Linked DNA regions of Saccharomyces cerevisiae S288C. The protein of the gene in region 2 interacts with the protein of the main gene of each other region in a pairwise test. Each region holds a gene or a part of one and is shown on either strand. Other genes may lie near its edges. The genes, in order: BI4 and NAM2.

The links.
Region 1: the proteins of NAM2 (region 2) and BI4 interact in a two-hybrid assay, tested with the Saccharomyces cerevisiae proteins (3 studies listed by BioGRID).

What each region holds. Positions count from the first base shown.
Region 1 is NC_001224.1:34,650-42,662, forward strand, and holds BI4 (intron-encoded RNA maturase bI4), read left to right. Parts: upstream 1-1,890; coding exon 1,891-2,305; intron 2,306-3,073; coding exon 3,074-3,087; coding exon of another isoform or gene 3,088-3,930; intron 3,931-4,491; coding exon 4,492-4,568; coding exon of another isoform or gene 4,569-5,616; intron 5,617-6,191; coding exon 6,192-7,602; downstream 7,603-8,013. Other genes in the region: cytochrome b mRNA maturase bI3, read left to right, coding at 1,891-2,305, 3,074-3,087, 4,492-5,616; cytochrome b mRNA maturase bI2, read left to right, coding at 1,891-2,305, 3,074-3,930; COB (cytochrome b), read left to right, coding at 1,891-2,305, 3,074-3,087, 4,492-4,568, 6,192-6,441, 7,859-7,909. UniProt on the Saccharomyces cerevisiae protein: Mitochondrial mRNA maturase required for splicing of intron 4 of the cytochrome b (COB) gene, containing its own coding sequence, and intron 4 in COX1, coding for the related homing endonuclease aI4.
Region 2 is NC_001144.5:881,251-886,742, reverse strand, and holds NAM2 (leucine--tRNA ligase NAM2), read left to right. Parts: upstream 1-1,991; coding exon 1,992-4,676; downstream 4,677-5,492. Other genes in the region: DNA repair protein SMC6, read right to left, coding at 1-1,455; CTF3 (Ctf3p), read right to left, coding at 4,819-5,492. UniProt on the Saccharomyces cerevisiae protein: Catalyzes the attachment of leucine to tRNA(Leu) in the mitochondrion.

The DNA.
Region 1 (8,013 bases), on a different chromosome or scaffold from region 2:
ATTAATTAATTAATTAATTAATTAATTAATTAATTAATTAATAATAAATATAAATATAAAAAGAATATAATTTATAATAAATAAATTTATATATATATATATATATTAAATAAAATATTTACTTCATTAATATAAAATATAAATATATTTAATTAATAAGTATATATATATAATAATATATAATAACCTATTTATATATATAATCTTAATATAATTATAAGAAATATTATATAAGTAATATATAAAAATAATATAAAATAATTATAATTCAATTTATATATTAATAGTTCCGGGGCCCGGCCACGGGAGCCGGAACCCCGAAAGGAGGAATAAGATAAATATATAAATTATATTAATAAATATAAATTTTAAATGAATTAATAAAATTAATATATATATGTATATATATATATATATTAAAAATATTTAATTATTTTTAGGAAGGAGTGATAGATCCCTTTGGGGGACCGAACCCCTATTTAAGAAGGAGTGCGGGACCCCGTGGGAACCGAACCCCTTTTTTATTTAAAGAAGAAGTTTTATTTTATTTTATTTTATTTTATTTTATTTTATTTTATTTTATTTTATTTTATTTTATTTAATTTAATTTTAATTAGGTTAATAAATAGTAATAATAAACTTAATAATAATAATAATAATTTTATTTTTATAATTTATTAATAATAATAATAATTATATATATATATATTATTAATAAATATAGACCTTATCGTCTAATGGTTACGACATCACCTCTTCATGTTGATAATATCGGTTCGATTCCGATTAAGGTTATTCATAATAATAAATATTTGTAAAAAAAGTATATATAATTAAACATATTCTTTATATTAATTAATAATTATTAATAATATACATTTTATATAATACAATTATATATATATATATATTTTTTTTTAATACAAATAATATATTCATAATAATAAATACCGATTGTTATTATACTATAATAAAATATATAATATATTTTTCATTATAATATTTTTAAATAAATATTATAATAAATTATATAAATAATATTTATGTATAATAATAATAATAATAATTGTTATTAATTAATTCTATAATTATTATATATTTAATTTTTTTTTTTAATATAATATATAATAATATAATTTATTTTATTTTTTTTTATAGTTCCGGGGCCCGGTCACGGGAGCCGGAACCCCGAAAGGAGAATATAAATTAATAATAATATAAATAACATATTAACAATAAATTATTGTTAATATAATAATAATAATAACAATATTAATAAATAATATAAAAATTATTAATATTATATTTATATAATATTAATATAAAAATCTTTCATAATATTAATTATTATTAAATAATAATGATATCATTAATATTAATATAATCGTCAATATTATTTATTTATTTATTTATTTATTTATTTATTTATTTATTTATTATTAAATAAATATTTTTAAATATTATATTATATTATTAACTTTTTATTAAAAAAATTAATAATGATATAATATAATTAATATTATCCACGGGACCAATGACCAACCCAGTAGTTGACCGGATTGGCGCCCGCGAGGTTTATATTTAATAAATAATAATAATAATATTAATAAAATCTATTAACTTTTTTTTTTAATGGATTATATTAATGAAAAAAAAATGAGAAATATCTTTTTTTTTTAATAATTATAATTTATATATAATAAAATATGTATATATAATAAAAAAATAGTTTTTAATATTATAATATAATTATATATATAATTATAAATATATATATATATAATAAGTATTAATTAATAATATATATTTATATATTTTTTATTAATTAATATATATAAAATATTAGTAATAAATAATATTATTAATATTTTATAAATAAATAATAATAATATGGCATTTAGAAAATCAAATGTGTATTTAAGTTTAGTGAATAGTTATATTATTGATTCACCACAACCATCATCAATTAATTATTGATGAAATATGGGTTCATTATTAGGTTTATGTTTAGTTATTCAAATTGTAACAGGTATTTTTATGGCTATGCATTATTCATCTAATATTGAATTAGCTTTTTCATCTGTTGAACATATTATAAGAGATGTGCATAATGGTTATATTTTAAGATATTTACATGCAAATGGTGCATCATTCTTTTTTATGGTAATGTTTATGCATATGGCTAAAGGTTTATATTATGGTTCATATAGATCACCAAGAGTACTATTATGAAATGTAGGTGTTATTATTTTCATTTTAACTATTGCTACAGCTTTTTTAGGTTATTGTTGTGTTTATGGACAGAGTGAGACAAGTATAAGTATATTATTATAATATCATACCATTAAATAAATTATTTTAATGAAATGATTATGTTTATATATAACATATACCTAATTAGACATGCATTATTAGTAATAATTTTGTATGAAACTCTAATAATAATAATTATTATTAATTATTAAGGTAAGATTCATATGGATAGCGTAAGTCAATCTAATATTATAAAATATCGTAACATAAACAATATTTTTTTCTATTATTAATTAATAAATAATAATAAATAAAAATAATTATATGAGAAGTAAGATATTCAATTCTGTCTAGAATACATATATATACGTTAATACTCATCGGTATAAAATTAGAATCCTAAGTGAATTATTGAAAGTATAATAATATAAACTTGGTAAGCCCAATTATTTCCATATAATATTAATATAAATATTATATGGTAGTTATATATAATATTATTAAATAAATAATAATAGAAATTATAATATAGATAAGTGGGTAAAAGACTATTGAAAAAGCTAAAGATTATATGTAATGTATAATATAGATCAAATTATTTATATATTTTAATAAAAATATATTAATAATGGTTAATATTATTATTAATTAATTAATTAATTAATTAATAATAATAACGAATAAATGATTAATGTGAAAGCATGCTAACTTCAATATAGGATGATTTATATAGTATATAAATTGTTTGAGCTGTATACTATGAAAGTAGTACGTACAGTTCTGAGTGGGGGAAAATTTGTAAAGATCTACCTATCACAATTGTCACATTGAGGTAATATAAATATCGCCTCAAATATATTTAATATAATAAAACTAATTTATATAATAATGTTAATATTATTAATTTATATTTTTTATACGATTATAATAAGACAAATAATAAAAACTAAAGAATATCTTATATTAATTAAGAGTATAGATTATATTAATAAAAATAAATATATAATTAATTTAAATATAACAAATAAGAAAGATATAAATAATAATATTGGTCCATTAAATATAAACATTTTATCAATTATTTATGGTTCAATATTAGGAGATGGTCATGCTGAAAAAAGAAAAGGTGGTAAAGGAACAAGAATTGTATTTCAACAAGAATATTGTAATATTAATTATTTATATTATTTACATAGTTTATTAGCTAATTTAGGTTATTGTAATACTAATTTACCTTTAATTAAAACTAGATTAGGTAAAAAAGGTAAAATTAGACAATATTTAAAATTTAATACATGAACTTATGATTCATTTAATATGATTTATTCAGAATGGTATATTAAAAATATATCTGGAAAAGGTAATATTAAAGTTATTCCTAAATCTTTAGACAATTATTTAACTCCTTTAGCTTTAGCTATTTGAATTATAGATGATGGATGTAAATTAGGTAAAGGTTTAAAATTCACAACTAATTGTTTTAGTTATAAAGATGTTCAATATTTACTTTATTTATTACATAATAAATATAATATTAAATCTACTATTCTTAAAGGCAATAAAGAAAATACACAATTTGTTATTTATGTATGAAAAGAATCTATACCTATTTTAACTAAAATTGTATCTCCTTATATTATTCCTAGTATAAAATATAAATTAGGTAATTATTTATAATAAAATATATAGTATTATATTAATTATTATATTATTATAATGCGATATTATTGAAAACATGTCAAAATTATATTATTAAGTAACAAGACAGTGGGTTATATAATTATATGATCCCAACAGAATACACCAATAATAGGTATTATTATAAAAAAAATAATAATATTTAATGTTTATTCGAAGAAAATTTATAATATTATTATTATAACACAAGGTTTAATAATCTATATATATATATTATATATATAACTACTGTTATTATTCCATTTACCTAATTAATATATAAATAATGAATTATAATTATTATGATTAATATTTTTATAATAATAACCCCATCATAACATTTATATATAACATTTATATATAACATTTATATATAATATTTATATTATGGTATTATTAGGTATAAATATTTATTCATAAGAGAAAATAGTGATTAAATGGAATTATAAAAAGGGTAGATATTATTAAATACAGGGTATTATTTATATTAATAAATCAATAAATATTGAGATTATTATTATTAAAAAATAATAATAATTTATAAATAATATTATTTTCTTGGCACTAGTTATTACTAATTTATTCTCAGCAATTCCATTTGTAGGTAACGATATTGTATCTTGATTATGAGGTGGGTTTAATATAGAGGATCCATATTATAGTAATATAATATTAAATAAATCTGTTTTATGCTGAAATATCTTCATTTGAATAATAAATTACTATATTATTCAATTAATTATTTATAATAATATAATTTGAAATAAAAATAATATAGTTAAAATATTTATTATAAGAAGAAAATTAGCAGTAATTAATATATATATATATATAAAATTAATTATTCAGAGACTTTATAGTTATTATATAAATAATACTATTATTTATGATAAAAATCATAAATTAAACACAGATAATCCTATTTATGCATATATTGGTGGTTTATTTGAAGGAGATGGTTGAATTACTATTTCAAAAAAAGGTAAATATTTATTATATGAATTAGGTATTGAAATACATATTAGAGATATTCAATTATTATATAAAATTAAAAATATTTTAGGTATTGGTAAAGTAACAATTAAAAAATTAAAAATAAAAGATGGTACTATTAAAGAAATATGTAAATTTAATGTAAGAAATAAAAATCATTTAAAGAATATTATTATTCCTATTTTTGATAAATATCCTATATTAACTAATAAACATTATGATTATTTATATTTTAAAGATAATTTATTAAAAGATATTAAATATTATAATGATTTATCTTATTATTTACGTCCTATTAAACCATTTAATACTCTTGAAGATATTTTAAATAAAAATTATTTTTCTTCATGATTAATTGGTTTTTTTGAAGCTGAAAGTTGTTTTAGTATTTATAAACCTATAAATAAAAAAATAAAACTTGCTAGTTTTGAAGTATCTCAAAATAATAGTATAGAAGTTATATTAGCTATTAAATCATATTTAAAAATTACTCAAAATATTTATACAGATAAATTTAATAATTCAAGAATAACACTTAAAAGTATTAATGGTATTAAAAATGTTGTAATATTTATTAATAATAACCCTATTAAATTATTAGGTTATAAAAAATTACAATATTTATTATTCTTAAAAGATTTACGTCTTATTCTTAAATATAATAATTATTTTAAAATTCCTCCTAAATATTAATCTTATATAAAAATATAATAATAATATATTTATATATTATATAATTATATAAACAAAATATAATTTATATATAATTATTTATTATAAATATAGTCCGGCCCGCCCCGCGGGGCGGACCCCGGAGGAGTGAGGGACCCCTCCCTATTCTAACGGGAGGGGGACCGAACCCCGAAGGAGTTTAATTATATATTAAATATATTATTATCAATAAATAATTCCTTTGAACTATTTATTATTTTATTATATTTATTTTCTCCTTCATTATTAATTTTTATTAATAATTAAAATCTTATCATTTTATGGTATTTTTATTTCTATTTTAGGATATCGAAACTATAAATTAAAAAGTATAATTTTATTAATTATAATTTATGATTAATAAATAAGAAATAAAAACTTTAGAAGTAATATTTATCTTTTTTTTTTATAAATAAATATTATGATTAATATATAATCATTTATAAATATTTATATATAATTATATATATACATAAATAGGATTAAGATATAGTCCGAACAATATAGTGATATATTGATAATAGTTTTCAAATATGTAACTATTTAAACATTAAAAGCTCAGTATCTAACCCTCTAATCCAGAGATTCTTTGCGTTACATTATTTAGTACCTTTTATCATTGCTGCAATGGTTATTATGCATTTAATGGCATTACATATTCATGGTTCATCTAATCCATTAGGTATTACAGGTAATTTAGATAGAATTCCAATGCATTCATACTTTATTTTTAAAGATTTAGTAACTGTTTTCTTATTTATGTTAATTTTAGCATTATTTGTATTCTATTCACCTAATACTTTAGGTCAAAATATGGCCTTATTATTAATTACATATGTAATTAATATTTTATGTGCTGTATGCTGGAAATCTTTATTTATTAAATATCAATGAAAAATTTATAATAAAACTCTATATTATTTTATTATTCAAAATATTTTAAATACAAAACAATTAAATAATTTCGTATTAAAATTTAATTGAACAAAGCAATATAATAAAATAAATATTGTAAGTGATTTATTTAATCCCAATAGAGTAAAATATTATTATAAAGAAGATAATCAGCAGGTAACCAATATAAATTCTTCTAATACTCACTTAACGAGTAATAAAAAGAATTTATTAGTAGATACTTCAGAGACTACACGCACACTAAAAAATAAATTTAATTATTTATTAAATATTTTTAATATAAAAAAAATAAATCAAATTATTCTTAAAAGACATTATAGTATTTATAAAGATAGTAATATTAGATTTAACCAATGATTGGCCGGTTTAATTGACGGAGATGGTTATTTTTGTATTACTAAAAATAAATATGCATCTTGTGAAATTCTTGTAGAATTAAAAGATGAAAAAATGTTAAGACAAATCCAAGATAAATTTGGTGGTTCTGTAAAATTAAGATCAGGTGTTAAGGCTATTAGATATAGATTACAAAATAAAGAAGGTATAATTAAATTAATTAATGCCGTTAATGGTAATATTCGTAATAGTAAAAGATTAGTACAATTTAATAAAGTATGTATTTTATTAAATATCGATTTTAAAGAACCTATTAAATTAACTAAAGATAATGCTTGATTTATAGGGTTCTTTGATGCTGATGGTACTATTAATTATTATTATTCCGGTAAATTAAAAATTAGACCTCAATTAACTATTAGCGTTACAAATAAATATTTACATGATGTTGAATACTATAGAGAAGTATTTGGTGGTAATATTTATTTTGATAAAGCTAAAAATGGTTATTTTAAATGATCTATTAATAATAAAGAATTACATAATATTTTTTATCTTTATAATAAAAGTTGTCCTTCTAAATCTAATAAAGGTAAACGTTTATTTTTAATTGATAAATTTTATTATTTATATGATTTATTAGCTTTTAAAGCACCTCATAATACTGCTTTATATAAAGCTTGATTAAAATTTAATGAAAAATGAAATAATAATTAAATTTTCTCCGTATTCATTATTATATTATCTAATTTATAAAATATTTAAAGATTCCTTATAATAATATAACATCTTTGTAAATTATTGTTAAAGATAATATAAATTATTATGAATCGGTAGATTATATTTTTACAATCTTATTAAATAAAATTCTGATCATTAAACATGATTGAAGAAATAATAATAGTTTATGAAATAAGATAGTGTAATATAAATTTTTATGAAGATATAGTCCATTTTATATTTATTATAAAAGCATCCTGATAACTATATTCCTGGTAATCCTTTAGTAACACCAGCATCTATTGATATTAAAAATATTAATAAAATTATTATTATTTAATCTTATTTATTTTATATAAAAAAAATAAATAATAATTATTAATAAAAATATATTATTTATTTCTCCTT
Region 2 (5,492 bases):
AATTGTCCTCAATTCAGACTCACGTTCATGTTGGATGTCTCTTTCCTCATTCTTCACATCTTGCAAACTTACAACTAAAGAATTGTTTACCTCTCTCAATTTTTCATTAGCTTTTTCTAACTGTTCAAGCTCCTGTCTCATCTGATCTTTATCACCGCCCATTTCCTTCGTGAGTTCTTCTTCTAAATGCGCAATTGTTTTATTCAAAGCATCTACTTTTTTTCTACCTTGATCGATATTGCTTTGTGCTTCTGCTTGGTTGCTTTTCTCCTTTTCAAACCTGCTTTTGACATCTCTTAACAGTTCCCTTGCATTTTGATGCTCACTATCTTTTTCATTAACATAAATGACCTTTGCATCAATTTGCGCTTCAATAGTAGTACCATCAGATGTATATCTTTCAATCTTTTCTTGCCTATTCCTAATTTTCTCAGTAACTTCATCAACTTTCTGTTGAATGCCACTGATTTCATTCTCTAAATTTTTACAAGCATCTGTATTATGGGCAACATCGATCCATAACGATTTCGCTTGCAAAAGCATTTTCCTTTCGTTCAAGTCTGAAGTCTGATTTAATTCCCTTAACAGTTTTTTGGCATCTTCGTATTCAGCTTTCAAAGACTTCAAATTCTCCAGGTGCAGAGCCATATTTTCTTGTGCACTATCGTGAATAGCACTGGCGTAAAGCAAATTCTCGGTAATTTCTTGAAGTAAAGTACCCTTCATAAAATGGCTATACTTATCCTGTGAGGTACTAGCAGTTAAGAAAGACCTAGCAGCGTCTTGTGACAGGAAACACATGGGGTTGCTTACAGGAACAGAAAAATAGTCCACTACCGTCTGAATATCCTTTTTCTTATTGCTAATTTCCTTGCCGTTTTCCGACCTTAAACTAAAAGAAGCGGGCCCATCTCTCTTAATTATCCTTTCTACTATAATTTCGTTACCAAAAATACCTTGCTGATAAGCACCATACTTGCTATTATCCAGATGAAGGATGATTTTAGCAGAATAACAACCTTCACGAATCAAATCCTTCAAAGAGGAACCTCTGTTAGTCTCGCTAGCCTTGGCTCCCAAACCAATAGTAATGGCGGTCAAAATTGCACTTTTACCACTACCATTATTACCAACAATAAAATTCAGCCTAGAACCAAGCTCAAGTTCAAAATGTTCATGGCACATAAAGTTTCGCAAGATCACTTTCTTAATATATCCTGAAGGTGACTCTTCCAAAAAGTTATCTTGATCCGCCGTGGCCACGTCAGAGGAGCTCCTAAACCCGCTGTCTTCATCTAGTGTATTGCTGTTAAACTGTGTCATGGGGGCAAATTGATGACGTCTGCGTTTTCTCTGCTGCTGCTGCTCTTCGTTTTCCTGCTGCGCAGTCAGTGAAAGTAGCTCATCATCAACCTGCTCTATAGGTCTTTTACCACTAATCGTAGTCGAAATCATACCATTTAGCAATCTAACAAGAATATGCTCTTTATTATTATTAACAGCAGCTACTTATCTCTTGCGAACCTATATGCCTCTTGTCTTTTTTTCTTATTATGAACTTCACTACATGAAATATAAATATTCATGTTGATAGATCCAAACATTGAAATTTAGTATACGCGACGCGTTTTTGGCAAGTTTAACTTAGAATTTTCACTATAAAACAGAAATTTTGATAAAACTTGGATGAAAATGTTCCTTTTGCCTAACTATCAAATACCACAGAAAAATCTTTAATACCATGCCATACTACTCCTGGTCTGTTCATGAACTTGCTTGACATTTCCCTACCTCTGACACACTTTTTGATCCAAGAATCTCATTTCTTATCTCCGCGAAGAATCAAAGAAACCGAAGAAAGTCGTTTTGTTGCTCCGGTGGAGAATCAAGAACTTGGAGGAAGGAGCACAGCAGAGTGTTAAACAAGGCGCTAGTACTCTATATTGTAGAGTCTGTACGTGAATAAATCGACGTGTGTGTACGGTGGAAAAATGCTGTCTCGACCTTCAAGCCGATTCCTATCCACTAAAAGGGGCCCTGGACCTGCAGTGAAAAAATTAATTGCAATTGGGGAGAAATGGAAACAGAAGACAACCCGTGGCTTGCCTAAGCAGGATACTCTGAATAGCGGGTCGAAATATATTCTGTGCCAGTTTCCATATCCTTCTGGGGCGCTTCACATAGGACATCTCCGAGTTTATGTCATTAGCGACTCTTTGAATAGATTTTACAAACAAAAAGGGTACAACGTGATACATCCGATGGGATGGGATGCTTTTGGGTTACCTGCCGAGAACGCTGCTATAGAAAGAAGCATTAATCCGGCCATATGGACTAGGGACAATATTGCAAAAATGAAACAACAAATGCAAAGTATGCTGGCAAATTTTGATTGGGACAGAGAAATAACTACATGTGATCCCGAATACTATAAATTCACCCAATGGATTTTCTTAAAACTTTTTGAAAATGGCTTAGCTTATCGTAAAGAAGCAGAAATTAATTGGGATCCCGTTGATATGACAGTTTTGGCTAATGAACAAGTGGATGCCCAGGGCCGTTCTTGGAGATCAGGGGCTATTGTGGAAAAGAAGCAGCTAAAACAGTGGTTTTTGGGAATAACGAAATTCGCTCCTAAATTGAAAAAGCACTTGAACCAACTGAAGGACTGGCCTTCCAACGTGAAGCAAATGCAAAAAAATTGGATAGGCGAATCTGTGGGTGCAGAATTAGTGTTCAAAGTTGCGGACCCCAAATTTGAAAACTTGATTGTCTTTACAACAAGACCGGAAACTCTTTTTGCTGTACAGTATGTTGCTCTCGCATTAGACCACCCAATTGTACAAAAATACTGCGAGGAAATGCCGGATTTAAAAGAGTTTATACAGAAAAGTGATCAATTACCAAACGATACGAAGGAAGGATTTCAGTTACCTAACATAAAGGCCGTAAATCCCTTAACTAAAGAGGAAGTCCCCATATTTGCAGCTCCATATGTGGTCAGCAGCTATGGTTCAGCACCTAGTGCAGTAATGGGTTGTCCAGGACACGATAACCGAGATTTTGAGTTTTGGCAAACAAATTGTCCTGGTGAACATATCAAGACGTGCATAGCACCTTTTTTTGACGATGCTTCAAAAGTAACTGAACAGGAAAGACAAAGAATAATTGATACTGTCCCGTTCACATCTACTGACGGTGTCCTAACCAAAGAATGCGGAGAACACTCAGGAGTTCTCACTGTAGTGGCAAGGAAATCGATAATGGGGATGTTGAATAGCGAAGGACTGTCTAAGAGCGTCGTTAGATACAAAATTAGAGATTGGCTGATAAGTAGACAAAGATACTGGGGTACTCCAATACCCATCATTCACTGCGACAACTGTGGACCTGTCCCCGTTCCAGAAAGTGATCTACCTGTCAAGCTACCAGAACTTGAAGGCTTGGATACAAAAGGGAATCCGCTGTCCACAATCGATGAATTTGTAAATGTCGCCTGTCCTTCATGCGGGAGCCCTGCGAAAAGAGAAACTGACACCATGGATACTTTTATCGATAGTTCTTGGTATTATTTCAGATTCTTGGATCCCAAAAACACTTCAAAACCATTTGATCGTGAAATTGCAAGTAAAAATATGCCGGTTGATATTTATATTGGTGGAGTAGAACATGCTATCTTACACTTGTTATACTCAAGGTTTATTGCTAAATTTCTCGGATCTATCAATGCATGGAGCGACCCTGCTGGCATCTTCGAACCATTCAAAAAACTGGTGACACAAGGAATGGTTCAAGGGAAAACCTATGTTGACCCCGATTCTGGTAAATTTTTGAAGCCTGACGAGTTAACCTTTGTAAATGACTCTCCAGATGGCAACACAGTGATTATTAAATCAAATGGCAAGGTTCCGGTAGTCTCTTATGAAAAAATGTCGAAATCTAAATACAATGGTGCAGATCCAAATGAATGTATTTTAAGACATGGACCTGATGCTACGAGAGCACATATCCTCTTCCAAAGTCCAATTGCAGATGCCCTGAATTGGGATGAATCCAAGATTGTTGGTATAGAACGTTGGTTGCAGAAGGTTCTTCATTTGACCAAAAATATTCTCAGTCTCGAGAAGGATTTGGCAATAAGTAAAGACTACAAGACCCCGACCGACTTAAATGATGCAGAAGTGAAATTTCACAACGATTTCCAACGCTTCTTGAAATCAATTACGGAATCATTTGAAGTTAATCTATCGTTAAACACTGTAATATCTGATTATATGAAGCTAACCAATATTTTAGAAAGTGCATTGAAAAAAGGTGAAGTAAGGAATGAAATGATAGTACAGAATTTACAAAAGTTGGTAACCGTTATATATCCTGCTGTCCCGTCAATTTCAGAAGAAGCTGCAGAGATGATCAACTCCCAAATGGAATGGAACCAATACCGCTGGCCAGAAGTTGAGCGCACTACTGAGTCCAAATTCAAAAAGTTTCAAATTGTGGTAAATGGCAGAGTCAAATTCATGTACACGGCTGACAAAAACTTTTTGAAATTAGGTAGGGATGCTGTTATTGAAACTTTGATGAACTTACCGGAAGGGAGAATGTATTTGATGAATAAAAAAATCAAAAAATTTGTCATGAAATTCAATGTGATTAGTTTCTTATTCCACAAGTAATCATATGACGCCATGAATTTACCACTAGTGCTTGTAAATAGTTAAATATTAATGCCTTATAGATATAAATTGTCCAATCTCCTTTTTGGAAGTTATAATATATATATATATATATATATGTATATAAATGTGGATGCATATTCTAAGAATTTTGAACGCTATACTTTGAGAGACTCTTCAAATATGTAAACAAGAATGCTGCAATGTCTCTATATGGATTAGCAGTGTTACTCAAATGCATTAAAATCTTTACTCTCAAGTCGTGAATGTTATTAACGCCCTTTATCCAACCATGCTGGCCAATCTCATCATGATGAACTCGAAAGAAATTGTTAAACGTCTCTTCATTTATGATCCCACTGGTGAATTTTATTTTGGTATTTTCGGCCGTTTCCAGTCGTCTTAGAATAATAATACATATGTAGGATAGCGCTGGTATACCAGTTATCGTGAAAAATTTAGCGTTCTTGAAGTCTGCAGTTGGGATATAAAGATTCTCCAAAATCTGCTTAAAGAAATCTGGTGAGACTCCAAACAAACTTTTGGATGACAGAACTTTATTCCTGTAAAGATAATTTGTCAAATCCATGATATATTGGTTCTGCATCCGAACGAATTTGTTTGTTGACGGGTATTGCATCAATTTATTTTTCGTAGCAACCAAGTACCTGCACGCAGCTGATAATAGCAAAGGATCGTCCGAACTGAACACTTTATTCATGATGTCAGGGCCCACAATCAAATATTGGATCGCATAATCCGACTTCGTTTGTTTCGACAGTTGAGTTAAAATATCTAACGAGCTGATGAAAGCCA